Nothobranchius furzeri: one gene and its partners. The protein of the gene in region 1 purifies or fractionates together with the protein of each later gene. This does not show direct contact. Links are inferred from orthologs where the notes say so. Each region holds a gene or a part of one and is shown in the gene's direction. Other genes may lie near its edges.

Region 1 (3,520 bases):
CGGGCGGATTGGTGGTTTTTCCTTTGGTTGAAGGTGTGAACAGGGCTTTTGTTCGGTTTTGGAGCCATAAATTGCGTTTGTGCTTCTGAAAGCTGATGCCATATCGCCCATGTGCAGAAACAACTCAGAGCTGCTCACATTTACCAACGAGCATTTCACACCGACGTTTACCGTCCGTGAAACATCACAGAGCAACGTTTGTCTCATTCGTCTCTGTCCACCGATGTTTCAGCACCCATTATGGAGAACCACGAGACCCCGGCCAAGGACGGCACCGCTGACGGCGCTGCCAAAGTCATTGCCAAGGGGGACATCATCACCACGGTAACGACAGAGAAAAAGGCAGAGGAGCAGGGGGAGCAGGAGGATTTTAAGAAAGATGCCACAGAGACGACGGAACCGGCCACTCCCCTCAGACTCGACACAAAGGTAAACCTACGTCCAAAGGGGAAATGGCTGCCTCTTTAAGCCGTTACTTCTTGTTGTTTTTGTTTATTTTCGTATTCAACACTTGAACGGCGGTCGTGAATTTCCCAGTTGCTTTCAGCTGAACTCACTGCCATAGACAGGCTGTTGTGCTTCTCATCCTGTGTGCGCTTTACTAATCCACTTTTCTTTTCTTGTCCTTCCTTTGACCCCACACTTTACTCGTGTGTGTGCTCATGCGTACCCCCCCTTCCACTTCACCTCTCTGCATTTACACACACGTCGTCTCCTCGTTGACATTTCCCTCCATCAGCGCTCTCATGTGTACACAGACGACCCCCTCCGCTCCGAGCTCTCGCTCCCTTCATCTCCCGCTTCATCCAGCAAAGTGCGGCGCAGGCGCAGGGAGAGCGCTCGTAAGCGGGCCTCGTCCGTCAGTCCAGTCAAGAGCAGCACTGGTTGCCGGCGGCTACAGGCCCACGCCGACCGCAAAGCCGCCCTGTTGGAGGAGCAGGCGCTGTTGCTCTCAGCCCGCAAGCAGAGGCTGGAGCAGGGGAAGCAATGCGGTGGCACGCTCTTCTCCTTCTCCCTGCACCTGCCCGACTTGTCCTCCATCCTGGATGAAGACGGCTACCTCACCTTCCCCGATCTGTCTGAGATGCGCTTCCTCCCTGAGTGCGCACAGAACTTCCTCCCCATTAAATCCCCGTCTCTCATCCCCTGCTTCCTTTTCATCTTCTTCTTCCTGCTCTCCACCTCCTTCTCCGTTCCCTACGCTCTCACCCTCTCCTTCCCTCTGGCGCTGTGCCTCTGCTACCTGGAGCCCAAGGCAGCCTCCCTGACCGCCTCCATAGCCCAGGGCTACCATGACCATGACAGTTCAGAGGAAGAGGAGGTGTGTGTGTGTGTGTGTGCGTACGCCTGTTTGTTCCAGTACCCACCTCTGGCTCAGAACGACAGTCCATTATACCTGTTAACACCTGATCCTGTCCTGTAACCGTTTCACCAGTTCAGAGCCGACCTGGAGACAGCGTGTCCCAGTGTCTGTCAGTCTCCTACTTTCAGAACCTCATCTCTGACCCGGTCACGATCTCACCTTCACCAGCATCACAGCTTCATCTGCAAGTCTCATCTTTGATTGGCTGTTTCACCTCAAAAGAGAGGGTTACACACAAATGGTGGGATCGCTTTACTTGCATGAGCTTCACTGACATTTTACCATGATTCAATGAAGTCACCTATCTTCATTTAGAGACTAATCTTTCGGTGAATCCATGGCTTTGTGCCTAGCCCATCTCAGTGTTACCCCATCATGTCCAAATGATGACTAATACAGTTCAGTCGGAGCTTGGAAACATCAGCTGCATAAAGCCTTTTCCGTATTTATCTCTGCTCTGTCTCTGTGCATCGCTCCCTGCCACAAATTAAATGAATTGTTTCAATCAAACTTTTACTGAGAGGACCTCTTACCGTTTCAGTGAGCAGGATTGTTGTGATCAGATGAGGTGATCGCTGTGTAACAGGATCCAGCTGTGATGCAGAGAGACAGCGACGCATCCACATTACCCACAGTGCATGAAGGGACAGGAGGGGGAGGGCCTGAAAGTCAGGTTGCTGTTCGGCCTCAAAATCATCAGAACAAGCATTTTTAATGAAGTTTGTTCTGCAAACAACACATAAAATAAGTCAAGGAAACTAACGTTTACCAGGCTACAGCTAATTCAGATCCATCTCGTTGAAAAGTGACCGACTGATGGTTTCTACTTCCTCTGAGTCTGTTTTGCTTGCTTCTCCAGTCTCTGTCTTTGCTCCTTATGTTTTAGTTGCGTTTCTGGTCGTATCTGTACCGCTGTGTGATAGCGTTCAGCTTACAGTCCCAACAATCAGAGCATCTCCATCTGTCCCATTTGTGGTAATGACTCTGTGTTAACGATAAAAGCACTTTTCTTTTCAGATGTTTACATATTGGGTCTTTCTTGTTTCTCTTGCTTTCGAATTGGATTTTTATTTTTATTTTTTTTTGGTTTGGTCTGTGAACGCAGACCGACAGCGAGCATACGGACTTTGCCTTTGATGGAGAGATGACGGCAACAGAGGTTTGTACATCCAGTCTAATAAAGGGAACAGACTCGTTGTCACTTTAAAAAGTTTGTGAACTCTGAGAGCTGCATATTTACCTCCACTGGGTTATTTAGCATTTTTAATTATCTCACTAAATAAACTTTTTTTCTGCCATTTTCTTTTTAAAAATTGAGGAAATCTGGCTGCAGGTGTTGAAATTATCAAATTGGGCCAACTCAAAGGGTCAGAGTTCATTTGGGGGGTGCATCTAGTCCCAATGCATTTAAGAATATTGACTTTGACTTAGTGTTCTTTTACGTTTAGCATTTCCATTAGAGGCCGGTTTCAAACCAGAGCCATCAGAGCGTTGCTACGTAGAGACGAATGTAAAAAAGGAAGAAAAGAAAAGCAGGGAGGTATAAAATCTCAAAAGATCTTTCTATAAACAAAAAGATGTTGTGAAGACCACCCCGCTTGGTTCTTCTTGAAATAATCCTTACTTGTGGCTCACAGCTGGACTCATACAAGCAAAAGTAAACAACCAAACCTGGAACCAAACCATCAAAATGTTCAGATATTGATTCAGAGAACTAATAAAACAGAAATAAGCATCAAAACTACAAAGACTCTGGAGGCAAACATAGCTAAAGCTGAAAACTCACTGGGCTAAATAGTCTTGAGTTAGTTTTTTGATGAACTGATACATAAAATACTTCTGTGAGAAGTATCATGTTTGGTTGGGGTTACGTTGGGCATATGTGCAAACATATGGTAAATGGCTTGAATTTTAATAGTGCCTTGTATGGCACCCCCGCCCCCCACCCCCCAAGGTGCTTGATGATGGCTAAAGCAAGGCTTGATGAGCACTCCCTCCAGCCAACACCATCAGGAAAGGTGGGCGAAGTGTCTTGCCCAAGGACGCAACTGCACACTAAACCCCTCTGCCACCATCGCCTCAGGACTTTGCAGCCGTGCAAAAGTACCCGTCACTGAAACCAAATGGAGAATTTCCGGATCCCTGATGATTGCAGCT
Region 2 (3,520 bases), on another chromosome or scaffold:
GTTGCGAGTGCGTCTTGATGAAATTTTAATCGAGAATAAAGAGCTGAAGAGTTCATCCGCACTGATGGAGAGGAAAGTAGACGAGCTTGCTGAGGAAAATGGGGCTCTCTCCTCTCGGGTAAGATAACACTGAGGAGATTTTCCCTGTAGGAAATTCAGTGATGACATTTATCTTATGCTCTCAGGGTTTATCTTTGTTTTGGAAATTTGCTTGTAATAAGCACATGGGAACAATGTCTCGCCCCATAATCGGAAGGTTGCAGGTTCGAGCCCCGCTCAGTCTGTCGCTGTCATTGTGTCCTTGGGCAAGACATTTAACCCACGTTGCCTGCTGGTGGTGGTCGGAAGGACTGGTGGCGCCAGTGCTCGGCAGCCTCGCCTCTGTCAGTGCGCCCCAGGGCAGCTGTGGCTACATTGTAGCTCATCCCCACCAGTGTGTGAATGTGTGTGTGAATGGGTGAATGACTGATTGTGTTGTAAAGCACCTTGGGGGGTTCCAGGACTCTAGAAGGCGCTATATCAAATACAGGTCATTTACCATTGGAGGATGTTGATGATGTAATTTAGGCTCTTGGATGTTAGAATCTTGAAGGGTCTCAGGGATATTTGTCAGGTTTGTATTTGTTCAAATCAGAGAAGCCATATTAATATATTCTTAAATGTCAGCTGATGTTTGGTAAGTGAGAAATTCCAAGAGGGCATCGATGACCAAGAATAGTAACAATGTTAGACATCGGTGAAGAAAAATGAAGCTCTGAAAATAAATGGATGCATAAAGAGTTAACTGCATGGTTTTATTCAAGATTTTAACATGTTTTAAAATCTGGTTGTCAACGTATTGTTGTACTGTTGTATTGTTGTATTTTAGGTGAGAGTGTTGTGTTCACAACTGGCCTCCTGCGAGGAAAAGGTTAACAGAATGACTCAAAGACACTTCTCCATCGAAGAGGATTGGGAAAGCAAATCCAGCCAACTAATCTCAGAACTGAAGGAAGCAACTGCACAGAAAGTAAATGTTTAGATTTTTTTAAATACATTTTAAATTAAAGGATTTGACTTGATCCAAGTGTTTAATAACTGCCTTTTTTGCCCAGGAGCTCCTGACTGAACAGATTCAAATCCTGCAAGGAAAGATATCCTGTTTAGAGGAAGAAATGAGCAAGGCCACCAAGGAGGAAGAAGGAGAGAATATGGGTCCTGTGATGGAGGTGAACTAGCTAGTCCAAGACTTTATTGAGTAGAAAAACAGTTTTCTGTGATGTTTACCAAATGTGTGCTTTTCCAATTTCCAGAGATCTTTGAACACTGAAATTCTCAGCCTGAGGAATGAGCTGGATTGCACACTTTCTTCTCTAAAGGAGGCAGAAATAGAAATTAAAAACTGCAATCTGAAGATGGCGGAGTACCAACAACAAATTAGCACACTACAGCAGCACAACGCTGCTTTTGAACAAGAAATATTTACACTAAAGGAGGAAAATAGAGAGAGCCGAGAGCTTCTTCGTCACACTGAGGAAAGGGTGGCCAGTCTTGAGACTGAGCTAGAGCAAGCAGAAGAGTTACACGAGGAGATCAAAGAAGTGAAGGAACAGGTTGAAAGGCTTCGTTCCTCTCTGAGAGCAGCTGAAGAAAGCTTACGATCCAAGGAAGAGCAGTTTGCAGAGCAGCAGCTACAGAGCTGTCAGCACCTGGAGGCCCTGCAGATTGAGGTGAACCGATTGAAGCAAGAGATCCAGACCAAAGAACATGAAGCTGATCTGTTAAAATCTGACCACTGTAAGGAGACAGAAGTCCTCAGTGAGGAGATCAAAGCTCTTAAAAATCAAGTGCAAAGTTTGATGGAGTCTCTGAAAACTGCCACAGAAGAACGGCAGATTCATGAGAACCTGTTGGCTCAGAAGGACATGGAAATGTCTCAGGTGAAGGACTCGTTTAAAAGTCAGATTGAAACCTCAGAGAAAGAGATCAGAAGACTTGGAGAAGAGATCCAGACCAAGGAGGACCAGCTGGTCTCCCTAAAGAAAGAGAGCTCCTCACATTCTGACGAGCTGCAGCAAGAAATCCAGAATCTGCAACAACAGGTGGTTCTGATGGGGGAATCTCTCAGGACCACTGAGGAAAAGGTTCAGACTCAACTAGCTTTGCTAAACGAGCAGGAGCAGGAGAACGCTCACCAGAAGGAGCTTCTACAGCAACACTTGTCTACTTCTGAAGAGCAGGTAAAGAACCTGAAGAACGAGATCCAGACCAAAGAACAACAGATGACCTTGATACAAAATCAAAGCTCAGAGCAAGCAGAAGAGTTACACCAGGAGATCAAAGAAGTGAAGGAACAGGTTGAAAGTCTTCGTTCCTCTCTGAGAGCAGCTGAAGAAAGCTTACGATCCAAGGAAGAGCAGTTTGCAGAGCAGCAGCTACAGAGCTGTCAGCACCTGGAGGCCCTGCAGATTGAGGTGAACCGATTGAAGCAAGAGATCCAGACCAAAGAACACGAAGCTGATCTGTTAAAATCTGACCACTGTAAGGAGACAGAAGTCCTCAGTGAGGAGATCAAAGCTCTTAAAAATCAAGTACAAAGTTTGACGGAGTCTCTGAAAACTGCCACAGAAGAACGGCAGATTAATGAGAACCTGTTGGCTCAGAAGGACTTGGAAATGTCTCAGGTGAAGGACTCATTTAACAGTAAGATTGAAACCTCAGAGAAAGAGATCAGAAGACTTGGAGAAGAGATCCAGACCAAGGAGGACCAGCTGGTCTCCCTAAAGAAAGAGAGCTCCTCACATTCTGATGAGCTGCAGCAAGAAATCCAGAATCTGCAACAACAGATGGTTCTGATGGGGGAATCTCTCAGGACCACTGAGGAAAAGGTTCAGACTCAACTAGCTTTGCTAAACGAGCAGGAGCAGGAGAACGCTCACCAGAAGGAGCTTCTACAGCAACAGTTGTCTACTTCTGAAGAGCAGGTAAAGAACCTGAAGAACGAGATCCAGACCAAAGAACATGAAGCTGATCTGTTAAAATCTGACCACTGTAAGGAGACAGAAGTCCTCAGTGGGGAGATCAAAGCTCTTAAAAATCAAGTACAAAGTTTGATGGAGTCTCTGAAAACTGCCACAGAAGAACGGCAGATTAAAGAGAACCTGTTGGCTCAGAAGGACTTGGAAATGTCTCAGGTGAAGGACTCATTTAACAGTAAGATTGAAACCTCAGAGCAAGAGATCAGAAGACTTGGAGAAGAGATCCAGACCAAGGAGGACCAGCTGGTCTCCCTAAAGGAAGAGAGCTCCTCACATTCTGACGAGCTGCAGCAAGAAATCCAGAATCTGCAACAACAGGTGGTTCTGATGGGGGAATCTCTCAGGACCACTGAGGAAAAGGTTCAGACTCAACTAGCTTTGCTAAACGAGCAGGAGCAGGAGAACGCTCACCAGAAGGAGCTTCTACAGCAACACTTGTCTACTTCTGAAGAGCAGGTAAAGAACCTGAAAAACGAGATCCAGACCAAAGAACAACAGATGAC
Region 3 (3,678 bases), on another chromosome or scaffold:
CCAAAGTTTGGGATCAAAAGTGCAGCTACACGCAGATTGGCTAACGCTAAAGCTAACGGGTAGCAGTCTCACGATCAAGTGGCGCACGGATAAATATATGATGATGTAAAACTAAGAGACTAAACTCTACAAGCGGATGAAAAGTCCCCACCATCCTGTTTATTCTGCATCCTGCAGCGCTACGGATCAGAACCGCTGTAGATACGAGTCACATTACTGCTACAAGCCTACGGCAGGCCGTTGTAGTATATAATTCAGAAACGCTTCTATCTTTGAACATAATTTAATCTGGATTATTGCCAAGTCCCGTACATAATAGACATGCCACCGTTACATTGTTAGCAGCAGAAATTAAATGTTATTACCATTTCCAGCACAGATGCATGTTAATGAAATGCATTGTATTTTAATGCATATATTTATGTGTTATTATGACTAAGATGAGTGTTATTAATACAAACCTAAAATGTTACTTAAATGTAGGTCAAATATTTAAAATTATTTTAACTGTAAATATCAGATGGGGAAAAGGAACTAAACACTAATTAATGCATATTATTGAGCCTTTCATAATAAGAGTGTTATTTCAGCCTGATCATTTTGTTTTATTTCATATTTTTTAGCAGCAAACCTGTTTTGTTTCACTTGAAACGTCAAACGGAATATTCTGTTAACAGAAGCTTAGATTAAAACACTTAACGAAAAAATATTTGGCCTTTAATAAAAGTGAGGCAGTTGAATGCAGAGTATGCATGTGTTGGTGCACGGTCAGGATGGTAGTCAGGAAAAGCCCTGTTTCTGCTCTCCAGCGCTCACATATTTAAAAAATGGTTAAAACTTAAAGCCAATACTGCACGATATTAGGTAAACCTGTGATATTCGGTAATGATTAATATTGCGATGACGATATTACTTGCGATAAATAAAAACTTAACTCGCGAACAAAAATAATCAAAAACAAAGAAATTTTTAAAAAATCATAAAAATTAGAAAAGTAAAAGATGAGGAAAGGGAAAAAGAAAATGAAGAAAAGACGGTGGATCCCGGGAAAAGCAGAAAGAGGCAAAGCTAACTCGGGTGTTTCCTAACCATCAACATGAAGTGCCGTCCGCCTCGGGGGCGGGCATCCGACCAATGAGAACCCACCTGATTGGCCAAATGGGTGAAGAGCTCTATTTGTGTTGTTAAAAAAAAAAACATAATGCTTTCATTTGATTGACAGAACGCATCATGTGTAGCAAACATTTGAGCTGACCGTTCATTGCGATATGTATATTGTGCATGCTGATATCGCGATAACGATATATTTACGATATATTGTGCAACCCTAATCAATACGGTGCTTTGGAAACATCTGGAACAACAGACGGTTTCTGGTGGTGTTAAATAAGTTTTCTTGTGTCTCAAACAGCAAGAGGAGTGGACCAGCCACAACAATCGCCTGCTGAAATACATCCGCACAAAGACCAAGCCTCACCTCTTCTTCCTGCCTGGGAAAATGTGCTCGGCCACTCAGAAACTCCTCGAGGAATCCACCAAGAAACTAAATGGTCAGCTGGGTTTGGTGTTTTTGCCAACTATTCCAAACGAGTCCCTGCCACTAACGCCTGAGCTTTTCTCTCCAATCAGCTGTTTTTGAGGAGAGGCGTGAGGCATTTGCCGAACACCTCAACAAGATGGAGTCACGCCCCCGGCGACAGCCGAACCGCGAGCAGGACGCCAACATTGCTACAAGGACGGAGCGCCCAGCGGAGGGTAAGCCAGCAGGTCAGGTAGACAAGCGGACAGGTAAAAGGGGTGAAAAGGGAATGGACGAAGATGAGGACGAAGAGGAAGAGGTAGAGGTAGAGAAGGATGAGAGTAAAAAGACAACAGAGGGAGAAGGAACTAGCAATGTAAATGAAGAAGAGAAAGAAGTTTTAAAGAAAATAGAAGAAGATGAGGAGGAAGAGATGGAGGTAAGTCAGGAGGGGAAAGAGGAGAAAAAGGGGGAGCAAAAGGGGGAGGAAGGGGATGAGGAGAAGGAAGAAAAGGAGACAAGTCCACAGTCAGAAGAGATGGAGGTGGAGGAAAAGGCAGAGAAAGATGTGGTTGAGGAGAAAGAGGTAGAAACAGTCAGTCAGCAGCGGCTCGCGGAGCTCCAAGATGAAAAGACTCCAGGTGTGCAGATATCTGAAACAGCTGAGAGCAGCCAGGAAGCACCAGACCGCAGCGATGGGCTTGCTGCAGGAGAACCAGCCGTTCAGTCCCGGGGCACAGAGGCGGCTTCTCCGGCCCAAGAACCACAGGTGGCCTCCACTCCTCCTGTCCAGAATCCCACCACTCCTGGGTCCAACGACCAGGAGCCCACCAACGAGAGCCAGACAGTCGAAAGAGAGTCGGGGGAGGAAGCCCCACAAAAGCTGCCAGATTCTCAGGAGGCCTCTGGAGCCCTTCCTGTTGTCACTCCTGTGAAGGAGGGTGAGAAGGACGGCAGAGGGAGGAAGAAGGAAAAGGAGCAGAAGAAACGCCGCAGTCAAAGCAACAGCTCCTCGTCCTCTTCTGGATCCTCCTCCAGTGGAAGTTCCTCTTCTTCTTCCTCAGGATCCAGCCACTCCTCATCGTCCTCGTCCTCTTCTTCCTCGTCATCAAGCAGCCGCAGCCGAGACGGCGGCAAGCGGAAGCGTCGGCCATCGGATAGAGGTAGAAATGCAAAGAAAGGAGATGAGAGAAGTCACCATAAAAAAGGCGGGAGTAGTGGAGGTGGGAGGGACGTGAAGGAGAGGAGGAAGAGGAGCGATGAGGGGAAGGGTAGGTCTTCCCGGAGTGATAGGGAGCATAAAGATGGAGACAGGAAGGCCAAGAGACACTGATTTAAGCTTCTGGAACAACAAAACTGCAGCTGAGACGGGAGATTACATTTTAATCACATTTCTTTTAAGTAAACGACTTTTCCTCTCGATGTTGGAAGTTTTGAATGAAGCGACTCGTTGGATGTAGTTGGTCAAAGCCAAGCGGATTTCCCTAATGAGCAGTGGGTGTTTTACGTTGTAATGTGGATTGTTGCTGCACCTAAAATGTGATTTCTAACGGGAGTCTCTAGTGAACGAGTCCGAGCTTGTTTTTAAATCCGGGTTTCTTTACTTTTGTTTTAAGTCTGATTGTCCAGCATTAAGAGTGTTGATGCATAGAAACGGTCGTCTGGTTAAAAATGGTTCGTGCTGATCAGCTGTTTACCAGTCTGGTTCATGTCTGATGTGATCTGTTCAAATGTTTTGATTTGACTTTTATTTTTTATCCTGTAATCTGCTTCAAATAAACTTGAGGTATTGGCATAAATGTGTTTCCTTGTTCTGGTTGGACTTTCGGTTTTAAAATGTTAAATTAGTCGACAGATTAAATTTAAAATGTATGTTTTCACCAGAGATGGGAATAACGGCGTTACTTAAAAGTAGTTTTTTTCAGTAACGAGTCATTAATTATCATCTTTTATCATAACGCTGTTTCCGTTACTGTTGAGAAAATGCGTGCGCTGCTGATTCAGCAGCGCGGCGGTGAAGCCGACATCAGCTGATTGAGATCTAAAGAGGTGGCTGTTTTCATCCAAGAGCATCATGGCTCGTGAAGAACGAGGAATGTGACAGCGGGACGTCCCGAAGGTCCGCTCACCTGCTCAGACGTCCTGATCTTCTACCTTCC
Region 4 (3,520 bases), on another chromosome or scaffold:
TCTGGTCGCAGGTTTCTGGTGCATAGGTGCCGGACTAAAGGGTACGAATCTAGTTGTGCTCCAGCTGCTGTGACCATCGTCAACAATCCGTAACTTGTCACGCAGTTTTAGGACTCGGGTATTTTATTAACGACATGTAATGTTATTTTATTGTGATGCACAAAGTTAAAAAACATTTTTATATGTTTAGTTAAAGGAGCGCTTCTGTGGTTTTGATGGTGGCCCTCTTGTGCCCTCTGGTGGCTAAATATATATTACACCCCTGCACAGCAGAAGAACGAGAGCTCAGCTGGAAGTTAACTGGGCAAAACTAAATGGTCTGCAGTTGTACGGCGCCATCTTGGGGTCTACAACCCCCCAAGGTGCTTGACAACATCTGGAGCCAGCTGTGATGGTGGCTGGTAAAAAGGAACGTGCCCTAACCCTGGTCCTTGGTTCTCCTCACAGTGGAGTCCATGTTCTCAGCCATGTGCGAGTGCCAGGCCCTGCACCCGGACCCAGAAGACGACGAATCTGATAACGACTTTGAGGGGGAGGAGTACGACGTGGAGGAGGCCGGTGGGTAACTGCCATTAGGAACGACTCACGATATTCAACCCTCAACTCATTCTGTTCTTTTTCTCTGGACACGTTTGGTTTTTCTCCTCGTGGACCTGACATCTGCAGAAGCAGGTGAACATCCAGATCTTACACACACTCTGAAAATATAAACTGTTTACCCACTGCTGCTGTTTCTGTACCCGGTTAGAGCACGGCCACGCCGACATACCCACCTTCTACACGTGTGACGAGGGTTTATCGGCGCTGACACAAGAGGGTCAAGCCACGCTGGAGAGGCTGGAGGGGATGCTGGCCCAGTCCGTGGCTCAGCAGTACCACATGGCTGGAGTCAGAACCGAAGAAACCAAGGCGGAGTTCGATGGTTTGTCAGCTTTCATTTTTCTGATGGATTCTTATTAGAAGTCCTTTTGTGACTAGTAGAAGATCCCAGATGGAAGCATCATCATAAGAGTTGAAGTAGAAAACAGCCAATCATCAGAAAGGGTTCATGTGTGGGAGGGTGCTCTACAGGTGCGGCTTACAGCGGTCTGCTCGTGCGTTTAGGGTAAAAACAAGTTTATTTGAGGTGATGATTTAGATGAATGTCATTTAAAACTGAAGGAAAGTTCATTATTCAGCTGTTTTACTTTGGTAAATGCTTTATTTATATAGTACCCTCTAGGGTTCTACCACCCCCACGGGTACTTTGGTGCTAGTGGCGGCATCTGGGGAAGGCTGGCAGCTATTTCCACCAGAAAGCGCGTCGTTTTCTCTGTTAACAGGCGTGAGCCGCCATTGTTCTCTCGGCGCGCCGTCACGTGATGACATCACATTCATAATCTTTATGGAACGTTTCTAAAATTTGGACTAGGGTTGTCATGGTAACCGGTGTAGCGGTAAACCCCGGTAAAAAAGTTGATAATAATAATAACCGTCTTGTTTTTAAAAAAACTATATCATCTCGGTGGATTACCGTGGCTGCGGCGTAGGCGCGGTGACCCTTACCAGCCACCGTACCATCTGCTGAAGTTGCCGGCGGCACATGCGCACTTTGTTGTTTACAACCAAAACTTTCTTGAAGCTAAAGCTGGAATAATGGTCAAAGGAGGAGACGGCAGCGCTCAGGACATTTATTATCCCTCAAAGAAGACAAAGTGGGAAGTACGGGCATGTTTTGGATATATGAAGAATGCCGAGGGACAGCTGATAGAAGACGGCTATCCTGTTTGCAGCACGTGCAGAAAAAGTGTCTGTGAAAGGCAGCAACGCTTCAATCTCATGACACATCTGCGTGACCATCACCCACAACTCTACAGTCAACGCAAGGCAAGCTAACGTTAGCGTTTTAGCTAAAATGCGTGATCCGAGGATTTGGGTTGAGGGAGAACGCAACGAGTCGCTATATAAAGCAGCCGCAGCGCCGCTACCTGCATGTAAACCGTGTCGCGGACACCCCCATGTTGAAATGACGCTATGCATTACGGGGCTCCCAGGGGCAGATAAGAGTTGGTCTCTCTCCCAGAATAATTATGAATTTAACAACGATTACTGCCTGATGACATTTTCCCACATCTGCAAAGCTCACTGGAAGGACCAGTACCTCATAAAACACACACACACACACACACACACACACACACACACACACACACACACACACACACGCTGTCTGCTCTCCTCCCATTGAGCAGCTGTGGCGAGAGCTCTGTGCAGAGATGTTGGCTGCTCAGAGGACACACACCGCTCTCTCGTTTCCCGCTCACCCGAACCCAATCAGTCCGTAGTATCACCTTGTCCCAGTCGGACTTCTGAGGAAGAGGTCTGAAAAAGTTGCCTGGTCCGGTACTGACCCTGGCCTGTAACCCAGTTCTGGTCCGGTACTGACCCTGGCGTGTAACCCAGTTCTGGTCCGGTACTGACCCTGGCGTGTAACCCAGTTCTGGTCCGGTACTGACCCTGGCCTGTAACCCAGTTCTGGTCCGGTACTGACCCTGGCCTGTAACCCAGTTCTGGTCCGGTACTGACCCTGGCGTGTAACCCAGTTCTGGTCCGGTACTGACCCTGGCCTGTAACCCAGTTCTGGTCCGGTACTGACCCTGGCCTGTAACCCAGTTCTGGTCCGGTACTGACCCTGGCCTGTAACCCAGTTCTGGTCCGGTACTGACCCTGGCCTGTAACCCAGTTCTGGTCCGGTACTGACCCTGGCCTGTAACCCAGTTCTGGTCCGGTACTGACCCTGGAACGCGGGTCTGCTGGTGGCAGGAGGACGTCAGTTGTAGCAGAGCCCTTCCAGCCAATCAGATAAGAGAAAGGCGGGGCCTCCCTAGAGGGTCTCACTTTTCCGTACACAGGTGCCCCCAACAGCGGGGTCAAGTGTCTTGCCCAAGGACACCACAGCTGATGGACTGAGCAGGACTTGGACCTGCAACCCTCCGGTTCTGCTGCGGGGACTCGGTCCTCCGCCACCGTCGCGTTTGTTTTTACTGAAGCATCCGTAAAAGAAACCCGTCTGACCTCTGAAGCGGTGCTTTTACCTGCGATGACCAGCAGCTCCATGGACCGGACCTGTCTCCGCAGCGACGAGTCCGGGACACACACCTGGGTGTTCAGCCAGACTCTGCAGGTGGATTCTGTTGTTCGTGCGGTTTTTACCGCAGGAGTTGGGAACTGTGGCCGAGGCGTTTATGACCTCCAGGTCTCTGCTTGCTGGCCTGAGCCGGTCCTTACTGACCCGGCTGCAGCTGCTCCAGAAAGCTGCTGCTCTGGACTGGTTACCAGTGAACCCCTGTCCTAAGATCCGGTCTCTGTCTGGAACAAGCCCACCTATAGCCTCACTGCTGACCCGCTATGTTTCTGCATGATCGCCACGTTCGGGTCAGAGCGACCTCCCAGTGGTTCTGCAGCCACAGCCCAAGTCCAGAGGTGATCGTGCCTTAGAGGTTCTGGTTCCTCGGCTTTGGAACCAAGACCCCCCAGAAAT

What was found. Proteins that work in one complex are often made in the same cells at the same time.
Region 2: the proteins of epb41l3b (region 1) and numa1 purify together in Homo sapiens (affinity purification with mass spectrometry; 3 studies listed by BioGRID and IntAct, with this or other methods). This does not show direct contact. The link is inferred for Nothobranchius furzeri from reciprocal best matches to the Homo sapiens genes EPB41L3 and NUMA1.
Region 3: the proteins of epb41l3b (region 1) and pnn purify together in Homo sapiens (co-immunoprecipitation; 3 studies listed by BioGRID and IntAct, with this or other methods). This does not show direct contact. The link is inferred for Nothobranchius furzeri from reciprocal best matches to the Homo sapiens genes EPB41L3 and PNN.
Region 4: the proteins of epb41l3b (region 1) and clns1a purify together in Homo sapiens (affinity purification with mass spectrometry; 3 studies listed by BioGRID and IntAct, with this or other methods). This does not show direct contact. The link is inferred for Nothobranchius furzeri from reciprocal best matches to the Homo sapiens genes EPB41L3 and CLNS1A.

The regions. Positions count from the first base shown.
Region 1 is NC_091751.1:42,985,682-42,989,201, reverse strand, and holds part of epb41l3b (band 4.1-like protein 3b), read left to right. Parts: intron 1-232; coding exon 233-429; intron 430-739; coding exon 740-1,321; intron 1,322-2,468; coding exon 2,469-2,522; intron 2,523-3,520. UniProt on the Homo sapiens protein: Tumor suppressor that inhibits cell proliferation and promotes apoptosis. Modulates the activity of protein arginine N-methyltransferases, including PRMT3 and PRMT5.
Region 2 is NC_091753.1:34,151,729-34,155,248, forward strand, and holds part of numa1 (nuclear mitotic apparatus protein 1), read left to right. Parts: coding exon 1-118; intron 119-868; coding exon 869-1,009; intron 1,010-1,094; coding exon 1,095-1,208; intron 1,209-1,292; coding exon 1,293-3,520. UniProt on the Homo sapiens protein: Microtubule (MT)-binding protein that plays a role in the formation and maintenance of the spindle poles and the alignement and the segregation of chromosomes during mitotic cell division.
Region 3 is NC_091758.1:40,474,502-40,478,179, forward strand, and holds the end of pnn (pinin), read left to right. Parts: intron 1-1,411; coding exon 1,412-1,550; intron 1,551-1,629; coding exon 1,630-2,852; 3' UTR 2,853-3,173; downstream 3,174-3,678. UniProt on the Homo sapiens protein: Transcriptional activator binding to the E-box 1 core sequence of the E-cadherin promoter gene; the core-binding sequence is 5'CAGGTG-3'. Capable of reversing CTBP1-mediated transcription repression.
Region 4 is NC_091753.1:60,563,780-60,567,299, forward strand, and holds part of clns1a (methylosome subunit pICln), read left to right. Parts: intron 1-447; coding exon 448-558; intron 559-666; coding exon 667-672; intron 673-748; coding exon 749-922; intron 923-3,520. UniProt on the Homo sapiens protein: Involved in both the assembly of spliceosomal snRNPs and the methylation of Sm proteins.